3 linked regions of the Oryctolagus cuniculus genome follow. Each later gene encodes a partner of the first gene's protein in a complex. Links are inferred from orthologs where the notes say so. Each region holds a gene or a part of one and is shown in the gene's direction. Other genes may lie near its edges.

Evidence for each region.
Region 2: CNOT6 (region 1) and CNOT2 share a complex: the UniProt entries of both Homo sapiens proteins name them as parts of the CCR4-NOT complex. The link is inferred for Oryctolagus cuniculus from reciprocal best matches to the Homo sapiens genes CNOT6 and CNOT2.
Region 3: CNOT6 (region 1) and CNOT11 share a complex: the UniProt entries of both Homo sapiens proteins name them as parts of the CCR4-NOT complex. The link is inferred for Oryctolagus cuniculus from reciprocal best matches to the Homo sapiens genes CNOT6 and CNOT11.

Annotation. Positions count from the first base shown.
Region 1 is NC_091437.1:66,992,550-66,996,612, reverse strand, and holds part of CNOT6 (CCR4-NOT transcription complex subunit 6), read left to right. Parts: intron 1-134; coding exon 135-292; intron 293-1,305; coding exon 1,306-1,460; intron 1,461-3,837; coding exon 3,838-3,992; intron 3,993-4,063. UniProt on the Homo sapiens protein: Poly(A) nuclease with 3'-5' RNase activity.
Region 2 is NC_091442.1:72,885,001-72,889,063, forward strand, and holds part of CNOT2 (CCR4-NOT transcription complex subunit 2), read left to right. Parts: intron 1-2,523; coding exon 2,524-2,585; intron 2,586-2,674; coding exon 2,675-2,724; intron 2,725-4,063. UniProt on the Homo sapiens protein: Component of the CCR4-NOT complex which is one of the major cellular mRNA deadenylases and is linked to various cellular processes including bulk mRNA degradation, miRNA-mediated repression, translational repression during translational initiation and general transcription regulation.
Region 3 is NC_091433.1:107,378,996-107,383,058, reverse strand, and holds part of CNOT11 (CCR4-NOT transcription complex subunit 11), read left to right. Parts: intron 1-537; coding exon 538-702; intron 703-3,769; coding exon 3,770-3,922; intron 3,923-4,063. UniProt on the Homo sapiens protein: Component of the CCR4-NOT complex which is one of the major cellular mRNA deadenylases and is linked to various cellular processes including bulk mRNA degradation, miRNA-mediated repression, translational repression during translational initiation and general transcription regulation.

The DNA of each region.
Region 1 (4,063 bases):
TGGCATACGATAACTGTTCAGAGAACTTAAATTAAATAATAAAGTAAAACTTAATATTTACATGAAGGTTTTACTGAAATTACATTTTTGTTTTCTGTCACGTGTGTGAATAAGTAAAGTTATTTTTCCTACAGCCTTGTTTTCTGTCATGTGCTATAATGTTCTTTGTGATAAATATGCGACCCGGCAGTTATACGGCTATTGTCCATCATGGGCATTAAATTGGGACTACAGGAAAAAGGCCATTATTCAAGAAATCTTGAGCTGCAATGCTGATATCATAAGCCTTCAGGTAAGTCGTACAGAAGTTGTATAAATAAATAGCATAAATTCCTCAGCATTAATAAAGCAAGGTTCAGGTATACTGGTAGAAGTACATGGGCACATTTGAAGTCATAGCTTCAATGGTTCTTAAAATACTGCCTATTTTCTTCTTTTATTGAACTTTTTTTTTTTTTAAAGATTCTATTGATTTATATGAGAGGCAGAGTTACAGACAGAGAGAGGGAGACACAGAAAGGTCTTCCATCCACTGGTTTCATTCCCCCAAATAGCCGTAACAGCCAGAGCTGGAAGCCAGCAGCCTCCAGGTCTTCCATGTGGATACGAGGGCCAAAGTACTTGAGTCATCTTCTGCTGCTCTCCCAAGCCATTAGCAGAGAGCTGGATTAGAAGAGCAGCAGTCTCGACACAAACTAGCTGTACCTGCTTCGGTTTGTAGCCCAGCACTGCCAAAGCAAATAGGTTAAGCTGGGTTATAATCATTTGCTCTGACAGCTAAATACTCACCTTCTGTCTCACTCCAGTGTCCCTATACACTTTTTTAATTGAATGGCAAAGTCATTAAAATTGTGATATTGCCAAGGTATAATTTTGCCTTGTCATCAGAATAATTAGGGCATAGTGGTCAAAGGATCAGACCTAGCATGTGCTATCATTGGGTTTCCATTACTTCTTTCGTAAGGACATGTGAAATCCTGGGCAAGTCGCTTTCTCCTCATGGATCTGAAGTTGTGATCTGTGAAGCTCTGTTCAACTCTTGATTCTTAGTTCACATTGGTTTGACATTTATAGGCATATATGATTGTCCATTCCTTACTCCTGAACAGTAGGGAATTGACCCTGGCAACTAGTATCTGTAAAACGACAAGTAGATATTCAAGTTTCGTTGAAATGATATTACATTTTTTAGTTTACAGATCTGTCCTTTGGAGTTACTTCAGGCTCTCAAACTATTCATATAAAGTTAGTACCTAGAACTGATTTTTGTCTTGTGTAATAACTTTGCCATTTACCATTTTTCAGGAGGTTGAAACGGAACAGTATTACAGTTTCTTTCTGGTAGAACTGAAAGAACGTGGGTATAATGGATTCTTTAGTCCTAAGTCTCGAGCTAGGACAATGTCAGAACAAGAAAGAAAACATGTTGATGGTTGTGCAATATTCTTCAAGGTAGAAAAGTAAGTCATCTTAAAACTTTTTTTATAAAGATTTATTTATTTATTTCTGGGGTGGGGAACCTTTTTTCTGCCAAGGGCCATTTGGATATTTATAGTACCATTCATGGCCCATTAAAAAAATTTTTTTTTTTAATTAAAGACTGATTTATTTATTTGAAAGGCAGAGAGACAGAAGTCTTCCATCTGCTGGTTCACTTCCCAAATGGCCACAACGGCTGGAGGTGGACTTGATCTGAAGGCAGGGTCCAGGAGCTTCTTCCGGGTCTCCCAAGCAGGTGCAGGGACCCAAGGACTTGGGCCATTTTCCACTCTTTTCCCAGGCCACAGCAGAGAGCTGGATCCTAAGTGGACCAGCTGGTACTCAAGTCGGCGCCCATATGGGATGCGGGCACTGCAGGAGGTGGCTTTACCTGCTACACCACTGTGCAGGCCCCCTGGGCCATAAAAATATCAGCAATTAGCCTGCTATAGATTTACTGAATTTCAAGTCCCGCCTATGATTGCCTTGGGAGGGTCAGACCAAATGATTTTGTAGGCCAGACCGTTGATTTATTTGAAAGGCAGAGTGACAGAGAAGGCACTCCCCAAATGCCTGCAAAAGCTGGGACTAGACAAGGTGGAAGCCAGGAGTCTAGAACTCCATTCTGGTCTCCCTCATGAGCTGATCATTATCTGTTGCTTTTCCAGGCACATGAGCAGGAAGCTGGATCAGAAGAGAAGCTGGTGCTCAGCTTGGCACTCTGATATGGGGTCATGGCATTGCAAGCAGCAACTTAACCTGCTGTACCACAATGTCAGCCCCTTCATCTTGTTTTCTAAAAAGAAAAAAGTTCTCAAGGGTCATTATTTGATAAATAACAGAAATTTATTACTCAAGAAAACAATGCTATTGATTTAGGGGTGTATTTTTTGCCTTCTTAAAAAAGATTTATTTATTGGGGCCCTCATTGTGGCATAGTGGGTAAAGCTGCTGCCTACAATGGCAGCATCTCTTATGGGTGTATTAGTGTCCTTCCTGGCTGCTTCACTTCATCCAGCTCCCTGCCAATGGCCTGGGAAAAATAGCAAAAGATGGCCTGACTGAAGCTCCTGGGTTTGGTCTGGCCCAGTCCTGGCCATTGTGGCCAACTGGGGAGTGAACCAGGAGATGGAAGATCTCTCTGTATCTCCCTGTCTGCAACTGAAGTTTTCTAATAAATAAGTCTATTTTATTTTAAAGATTGACTTGTTTATATATTTGAAGAGTGGAGTGAGAGAGAGAGAGGGATCTTCCATCTGCTGGTTCACTTCCTAAATGGCTGCAGCAGCTGGGGCTGGGCTAAAGCCAGGAGCCAAGGAATCCCTACATTTCTCCCACCTGAGTAGCAGGAACTAAAGTAGTTGGACTATCATCCACTGCATCCCAGGTGCTTTAGCAGGACGCTGAATCAGAGTGGAGTAGCCCAGACTTAAACTGGTGATCTGATATTGGATGCAGGCTTCCAAAGTGGTAGTTTATACTGCCATACCACCACACTTGCCCTGAGTTTGTTTTTATGTATTAAAAATAACCTTGTTTTGCAGAGATGTTTAAAGTGCTGCTGTTTCTTCAGGTGTTTACTAGGATTTAACTCCAGTTGTTAATTGTAACTAACCATGTAGTTAACATTCCTCTAGGATGGTAGAGGGATTCCTAAACCCATATTTTGGGAAACAATTGTTTAAAAATTACAAAATGGGATATACCAGTATTGAAATCTAAAAAGAAGATGACTACATTATCTTATAAGATTTTAAAAAAGTTATAAAGATTTTTTTTTTTTTTTTTTTTTTTTTTTTTGGACAGGCAGAGTGGATAGTGTGAGAGAGAGACAGAGAGAAAGGTCTTCCTTTTCCCGTTGGTTCACCCTCCAATGGCCGCCGTGGCTGGCGCGCTGCGACCAGCACATTGCGCTGATCCGAAGCCAGGAGCCAGGTGCTTCTCCTGGTCTCCCGTGCGGGTGCAGGGCCCAAAGACTTGGGCCATCCTCCACTGCACTCCCGGGCCACAGCAGAGAGCTGGCCTGGAAGAGGGGAAACCGGGACAGAATCCGGTGCCCCGAACGGTACTAGAACCCGGTGTGCCGGTGCCGCAAGGTGGAGGATTAGCCTATTGAGCAGCGGCGCCGGCCAAAAAAGTTATAAAGATATTTCAAGGTGTTATTTGTGTTGGTCACAAACTGAGAAGAGCTTTAAATGGATGTGGGATACTTGATAATAGTTTGGAAGGTTTTCCAAAATTTGATTTAAGTGGTAATCTGTTAAGGGAGTTTGAGTAGCTACATTTCCCACATAGTTTTGGTAATCCCAATTTATGTTTGTGTGTGTGTGTGTGTGTGTGTGTTTGTTTTTGTTTTAGATTTACCTTGATTCAGAAACACACTGTTGAATTTAATCAGCTAGCAATGGCAAATTCAGAAGGGTCTGAAGCTATGCTGAACAGAGTCATGACAAAAGATAACATTGGAGTTGCAGTACTACTAGAACTTCGGAAGGAATTGATTGAAATGTCATGTGAGTGATCCTTTCACTTCCTGGAAAATTGACCTCCAAAATTTAGTAGTTTTGACTAGACATCTTCAAAA
Region 2 (4,063 bases), on another chromosome or scaffold:
TCTTCCTTTTGCTGTTGGTTCACCCTCCAATGGCCGCCATGGCTGGCGCGCTGCGGCCGGCGCACCGCGCTGGTCCGGAGGCAGGAGCCAGGTGCTTCTCCTGGTCTCTCATGGGGTGCAGGGCCCAAGCACTTGGGCCATCCTCCACTGCCTTCCTGGGTCACAGTAGAGAGCTGGCCTGGAAGAGGGGCAACCGGGACAGAATCTGGCGCCTGACCGGGACTAGAACCCGGTGTGCCGGTGCCGCTAGGTGGAGGATTAGCCTATTGAGCCGTGGCCTCCATTCCTGTTCTGTTCTGATGAACCCAACTAGGGGAAAGTGCACAGGCTCACTGTCTGATTCCTTTTCATGTTTTGTGACCAGGACCTCAAAAATAGACCTTTAATTCTGCCAGACAGCATCATACCAAGGATACCTAGTCTATTCACTTTTTCGCTCTCATATATATAGCAGTTTTACACTTTCACAGACACTTAATATAAGAACTTGTAACTTTCCCTCTGTCCTATACTTGCTTTTTATTTCTGTTTCACTAAGAGAGGTGGAAATAATCAGAAGACAACATCAGCATAGTCTTGCCACCAAATCTTAGTACCTGCTGCCATCTACATCTACCTTATTGTTTTCTTGTTCTCTGTTACCATAGTCAATCCATGCTATTTATAACCTCTTATGAAAACTTAACAGTTTTCCACTCTTAGATGGTATCATTTCCAGCAGCATACAGATACACTGTTACTTCTCTTTTCAGAAGAAAAATTGTCTCTTGATCTGTCTCCTTGAATCACATGTCCATTTCTTTATTCTCCTTTGAAGCAAAACACAAAAGAATAATCTGACACTATTGGTGTAGCTGGTAAGGCCACTGCCTGTGGTGCCAGCATCCTATATGGATGCCCATTTGAGTCCCGGCTACTCCATTTTCAATCCAGCTCCCTGTTGCTGTGCTTGGGAAAGCACCAGAAGATAGCCCAAGTCCTTGGGCCCCTGCACCCAAGTGAGAGACATGGAAGAACCTCAGGGCTCCTGGCTTCAGACTGGCCCAGCTCCAGCTCTTGCGGCCATTTGTGGAGTAAACCAGTGGGTAGAAGTTCTCTGTCTAGCTCTACCTTTTAAATAAACAAATAATCTTTAAAAAAATTTTTCTGTTGAACTCATTCAATCATGGTTTTGCCTCTGCCACTCCACTGATATTAGCCTCATTCAGCTTATGAAATGACCCCCTTGTTGTTAAGTTCAGTGATCTCTTCTAGGAACTCTTCCTCCTTAATACACATTCTCATTTTAATTTGAGGACACCATTCTTACCTGACCTCACTGGTTGACCCTTCTTTATTTCCTTTGCTGATTCTTCCTTTTCTTCTTGACCCTTTTTGGTTAGAGCTCTACATTTGCTCCCTTGGTAGTCATTTGCGGAAGTCTTGTATTTTTAATTGATATATATATGGATATATACAGAATCTGAGTGTATCTTACTATTTTATACTGCTACCACCCTGGTTTGAATCATTATTCTTTGTAGCCTGGGTACTCTGTTAGTCACTCAACAACTATCTTTGATTATCCCTTTCTCCTTCCCAAGCAATCTCCTCTTCATATAGCAGCCAGGACAAACCTTTTTGAATAAGTTGCTCCTTTGTTCAGTACTCAGTAAGAGTTTGTAGTTTCATTAGGATTAAATATCCAAAGCCTTGCCTACAAGGTCTTCCTAGTGATCGTCTTTCCCATCATCCTTCCTCAGCAACTTTTCCCTTCGTTCACTGTGTCACAGCTTCCCTTTTCCTTCTGTGTATGGCAACCATGCCCTGCCTCAGTTGGTGTAGCAGTATCCTCTGACAAGAGCAGTTTTTTGCTCGGTAATTAATATGATTATCTCCTCCTTTTCCTTCAAGTTTTGTTAAGATCTGACTTCCTCAGTGATACCTTACCTGACCACACTACTTTAAATATGCAGCCAGTCTCTTCTCCCAAACCCTCCCCTAACACGGGCAATTATATATTGATCTATTATGCCAATTGTCTGCCTCCCTCCAGTCTGCCATCTTCAATCAGAAAGTTTCATGTTGTTAGTGATAATTATTTGTTCATTGATCCATCTCAAGCACCTAGAACAGTGCCAGACGTATAATAGGCACTCCGTAAATGGTGATTTTGAAACTGCTTTTCATACTGACATTTTATTCCCTGGCCACATAAATGGAAAAGTAGTTTAACTTAGGGGCATGATGAATTCAAAGCATTTTGAATTGAAACAGTTAAAAGCAGAACATTTTTATTTGTTAATACATGGTGTTACTAATGCTGTATGACTGTTGAGGGAAGTAGTCCTATTGTATTTTTCACATACATATTTGTTTTGGTTTCCTGCTGTTTAACTCATACTAAACCCAAGAAAAGGAATTAGAAGTAAAGAGGCTCATTTTATATTTTAAGTCTTTGTTTCTCCTGATTTTTCTGAAATAAAATTAGATATATTTTTTTCTACTTTGGACTTCAAATTGGTTTTTTTCCCCCTTTTTCAGAAATCTCTACCCCAAATTTGCGTCACCTTGGGCATCTTCACCTTGTCGACCTCAAGACATAGGTAGGAGAATCTATTTGTGTTGAGATCTTTTAAAAAGATATTTACAACTGAGAATCAGTTAATAAGGCTTTTTTCATTTTATTATCCAGACTTCCATGTTCCATCTGAGTACTTAACGAACATTCACATTAGGGATAAGGTGAGTGTAGTTTATTATTCTACTCAGTCAGCATGAATTTATTTTCCAGGTACTGTTTTTCAGTTCAGATAGCATAATATTTTTTAAATAATTAGTGTTCTGAGGGGTATGCTTTTGTATGTTCAGTTACATGTAACAATTTTACTTATTTTTGTTTATGCTAATGTTGATGATGTTTTCTATTTTAAAAACAAAACAATGATAGGACTGGTAAGCTATTTCTTGAATTAAATGACAGGGTACAACCATAACCACAGTTGATGGGAATAAGCTAATTTGATAAATTTCCTTCTGATTTTCTCATTTTATACACTTGTCAATAAGAATGATTTTACTTTACACATATTAACAGATTTGGTAATTTTAGTGAAGCATTATATATATATTTTTATAAAGTATTTATGACTTCTGGCTTTTTTCCCTGTATTTTTCTTTTTTTTAATTACCTAAAATTCTAATTGTATAATAATTAATCTTACTCTGTCTTTTTTCATCTAAGGAAAAAAATGCTAAACATTTTTCCTTGGAAGAACCAAGAGAGTTTATTTCTGTTAGGAAAAAAATGGTATCTAAATTTTTGCCTGGTGAAAGGATATGATTTAGTGAGAAAACAGAAGAGAGAGGACTTCAAAAAGTTCATGGAAAATGCACATTTTTTTTCTTTAAGATATATGAATGAAAGAGTTAGAGAGAAGGAGAGAGATCTTCCATCTGCTGTTTCACTCCACAGATGCCTACAATGGCCAGGGCTGGGCAGGCCAAAGCCAGGAGTCAGGTCTCTCACGTGGGTGCAGGAATCCAAACACTTGGGCCATCTTCTGCTGCTTTCCTAGGAACATTAGCAGGGAGCTGGATCAGAAGTGCAGCAGCTGGGACTCGAATTAGCACTCATATGGGATCCCAGCATTGCAGGTGGTGGCCTAACCCACTACAGCACAACGCCTGCCCCAAAATGTGCATATTTTGAAAAAACTATGCATGGGTTTCAAAATTTTTTGCACCAAAATAAACTTACCATCTAATTCTGTTCTGTGAACTTTTTGATGTACCCTCATATTTATGTTATACACATGTGTGTGTGTTTGTATGACAGCATTCTCAGTCTGTGCCATATAGGCAAGTAAAGGAATATGATACCTAAATAGATGGAAAGCAAGATTTATGAGATAGAGAAGCATCTAGTATTTTCTCTTTGTGGAGTATGTGATTTGCTGCTGTCTCTTCTTACTATCTCCACTAAAGATCTCTTTTGCTCCCTTTACCTAAGTTTCTAGACCCTTTTCTTACGCCAATTTGAAAAATGCTAATTTAGGAGAATTTGTTGCATGAAGGACTGCTG
Region 3 (4,063 bases), on another chromosome or scaffold:
TATTTATTTGAAAAGCAGAGTTAGGGACGGAGAGAGAGATCTTCAATCCATTGGTTCACTCCCCAACTGGCCACAATGACTGGGCCAGGCCAAAGCCAGGAGATTCTTCTAGGTCTTCGATGTGGATACAGCTTCCCAAACACTTGGGCCATCTTCCCCTGCTTTCCCAGGTGCAGTAGCAGAGAGCTGGTTTGGAGGTGGAGCAGATGGGACTTGAACCAGCGTCCATATGAGAGACCAGTGTTGCAGGTGGTGACTTTACCAACTGTGCCACAACGCTGGCCCCAAAGTGAAGTTCTTAATAGTTACTAAAACCTTTAGTTTGGCTGATGGTGCCGCAGATCATAGAATTTTCAAATGCCAAATTTAGTTACACCGGTCATCAATGTATTTATTTGGCTAATTGAAACTTACTTGTAATTTAGTCTTTAAAAATATGGGGGTTGAGGTAGCACATAGCAAATGCTAGTTTTACCAGATTCAGGTTAATGTTTAAAATTAGCCACTGGAGAAATTGTTGTGCGTTTCTGTTTCCAGGGTTTTTACCTCCTATAACTCCACCGGAAAAGTTCTTTCTTTCCCAGCTGATGCTGGCACCGCCCAGGGAACTCTTCAAAAAGACCCCTCGCCAGATCGCGCTGATGGACGTCGGAAACATGGGCCAGTCTGTGGACATCAGCGGACTTCAGCTAGCCTTGGCGGGTGAGCCGTGGGCCTCCGGGGGTGGTAGTGCTGGTCCTCTTAGCTTTGCGTCTCTACTTCCATAAAAAATGTCGTTTCAGCACAGGCTCCTGAGGGCACGTCCTGTTTTGATGCTAATGGGGCCTCTGAGAACATTTTGAGTTTTCACTTGAAATGACTGCTTTTCCCGTTGTAGAGGAATGCTGGCTAACGTTTAGTTTCTATTAAAAATAATCCTGTGATTGAAGACTCACTTGTTAAGGTGTCAGTACTACCCAAAACAATCTACAGATTCAGGGCCATTCCAGTCAAAATCCCAGCAACATTTTATGCAGAAGTAACAAAAATCCAAAGGAATTTCAAGAGACCCTAAGGAGCCAAAACTGTTTTCTTGGCATCCTTGTCGAAAGTCCTTCTCTCCTGTTTGCCAGGGTTTATTTCTGGGCTTTCTAGTGTGTTCTCTTGGTTTGTACTTGTGTGTCTTTTTTGCCAGTACCACACTGTTTTGATTAGTGCAGCTTTGTACTAATTTTTGAAATCAGGAAGTGTTAACACTTCCAATTTTGTTCTTCTTTTTCAGGGTTGTTTTGGAATATTCTGTGCTACACATAAACAAATGAATGAGGGTTCTGAAGCAGACAGTGGGTGATGACAGAAAATAATAATAAGACCTGCTGTAGCTTCTGTTCAGGGTCAGGCTGTCTGAGTTCTGAGAAATCAGAGGATCTTTGCTTGCCTACTCTACAACACAGCTCTTGTCACGCAAGAGGGATTTACTAGGGCAGTTATTACTTTTAAAGATTTATTTATTTATTTGAAAGGCAGTTATAGAGAGGCAAAGAAAGAGAGGTCTTCCACCCACTAGTTCACTAGTTCACTCTCCACATGATCACAATGGCTGGAGCTGAGCTGATCTGAAGTCAGGAACCAGGAGCTTCCGCTGGGTGGGTGCAGGAGCCCAAGGACTTGGGCCATCTTCTACTGCTTTCCCAGGCCATTAGCAGGGAGCTGGGTCGGAAGTGGAGGAGCAGCCGGGACTAGAACCGGTGCCCATATGGGATGTTGGTGTTGCAGCTTTGGCCGCTGTGCCACAGCACCAGCTTCTCACTTGGGCAACTGTAACATGTCACTAGATTTGCAAACCCTTGATATTGTGAGTGAGCTGCAGAGTAATGTTGACAGTGCCCTATCCTCAGACCCCATATAGCACACACTGGGCTTCTAATACAAGGCCACGTGTTGTAGTAACTTACTTCTCTTTGGAACAGTCTGAACAGCACTTTTTAACTGGAGTATATCAGTATACCAATGGTTATTTTCTGAAAGCAAGAGAAATCTTCTTAAGACTTTGAAGGCTGGGGCCAGTGCCGTGGCTCACTTGGTTAATCCTCTGCCTGCAGCGCTGGCATCCCATATGGGTGCTGGGTTCTAGTCCCAGTTGCTCCTCTTCTAGTCCAGCTCTCTGCTGTGGCCTGGGAAGGCAGTGGAGGATGGCCCAAGTGCTTGGGCCCCTGCATTCTTGTAGGAGATGCGGAAGAAGCTCCTGGCTCCTGGGTTCGGATCCGTGCAGCGCCGGCTATGGTGGCCATTTGGGGAGAGAACCAATGGAAGGAAGACCTTTCTCTCTCTCTCCCTCTCACTGTCTGTAACTCTACCTGTCAAATAAATAAAATCTTAAAGACTTTGAAGGCCAAAGGAACACAAAAATACTCGTTAGCCTCTAGTGCCAGATATGATCTACTAGAAAGCAAATGGTGGTTTCCTTAACCAGAGATAGTATGAAAACTGGCTGGTGCCGAGGGGATAGGCAGCATTAGGCAGCTCCCCCTCTTAGCTGATGTGTGTTCTGAGGGTTCTTTCTATGTCTCTGGGCTTTTTCCTCCATTTGCCTTATGGTCTTTCATGGACTTTTGTAGCTCCTTAATGAGGATTGAGCCTTCTTTGTTTAAAATGACACAATCCAGACCACAGCTGCTTGGAGGGCTTGTCACGCGGTAAACCACAGCAGCGGCCAGCCCAGGTTAGGGAATGGAGGCTGCTGCCTGCTGCCCCCTCACCCCCCATCACTAGCCTGACGTCCGTCCATGATACGCTGTCTCCGTTTGCTTGCCGGCCTTCCCGCCTTCCCCCCCGCCCCTGCCTACTTCATGCACTGGGTACAGGTTTCCTCACTGGGCCTCTCCTCCTGTTGAGTGTTGAGCTCGGAGTGCAGGGTGGCGCCGAGTCTCTGCCGTGGCTGCCTGTCACTGCTGTTGGTATGTTCGTGCAGTAGGATATCGGTTGTTTAAGCTGCGAGCATTGCCAAGACTCCTGTGTTTCCTCTTGGAAAGATAGGCACGTGTCACACTTCACTAGGTGTGTTACTCAGCTTTTTGCTACGTTAACAAAATACCTCACACCTGTTCCTTAGAAAGAGAAGTGTATTTACCTCATGGTTTTGAAAGCTTATGTGGCACAGGGTCTGGTGAAGGTGTGGCGTGTGTGCCAGGCTTGCCCCTTTTACAGTAACCCTCTCCTGAGAACTCAAGGGTCCCGGGGATCCAGATCCCCTCTGAAGGCAAATCTCCAGTGACCCAAGGATCTCCTGCTAGGCCCTGGGGACCCAGCTGATAACACCTTCTAACTTTTGGGGACCCTTGGGGGATAAACCAAATCCACATCATAGCAGCAGGTAATGTCACACTGTCCTCCAAAGTCGCCATGCCTTTTTTCATCCCCAGGAGCAGTGTGTGTGACCCTATGTCCTCTGCACTTGATAATAACACCCTCATTAACTGGTCAGTCCTGGTGAGTGTGTGTTATCCTGTGCTTTAACTGAATTCCCCTAGGTTCCTATGGGATTAAATAGCTTCAACTGTTTATTAGTCACTTAAGCTTCCTTGTAAAATGCCTGTTCATTAGTCTAACTTTTCCTGTTTTTTTCCAAGTTGATTTGTAGCAGTTTAAGAATATATTATGCATACACAGAGTCTGGCCCTTTGGCCTTTTATCTTGGTGTGTTGCAGACAGCTTCCTCCGGTTAGTCTGTCTTTTCTATTGCCTCTTGGTGCCCTCGGTTTTACAAGTTTCCTCCTGTACCCTTTTCCAGAACGCCAGTCTGAATTGCCAACCCAAAGCAAAGCCAGCTTCCCTAGTATTCTCAGTGACCCAGACCCGGATTCTTCCAATTCTGGATTCGACAGCTCAGTTGCTTCTCAGATCACGGAAGCTTTAGTCAGCGGACCAAAGCCACCTATTGAAAGTAGGTATATGTATAAAGTTATTTCCTGCTCTTGGTTTTATGCTACCAGTGCCCCTAAGACTTTGTTTTTTGAGGCACTTTATATCTTTATTGCTATTTAAACTTCAACTTACTATGAAACTTCCTAGTAGGCTGTCTGTA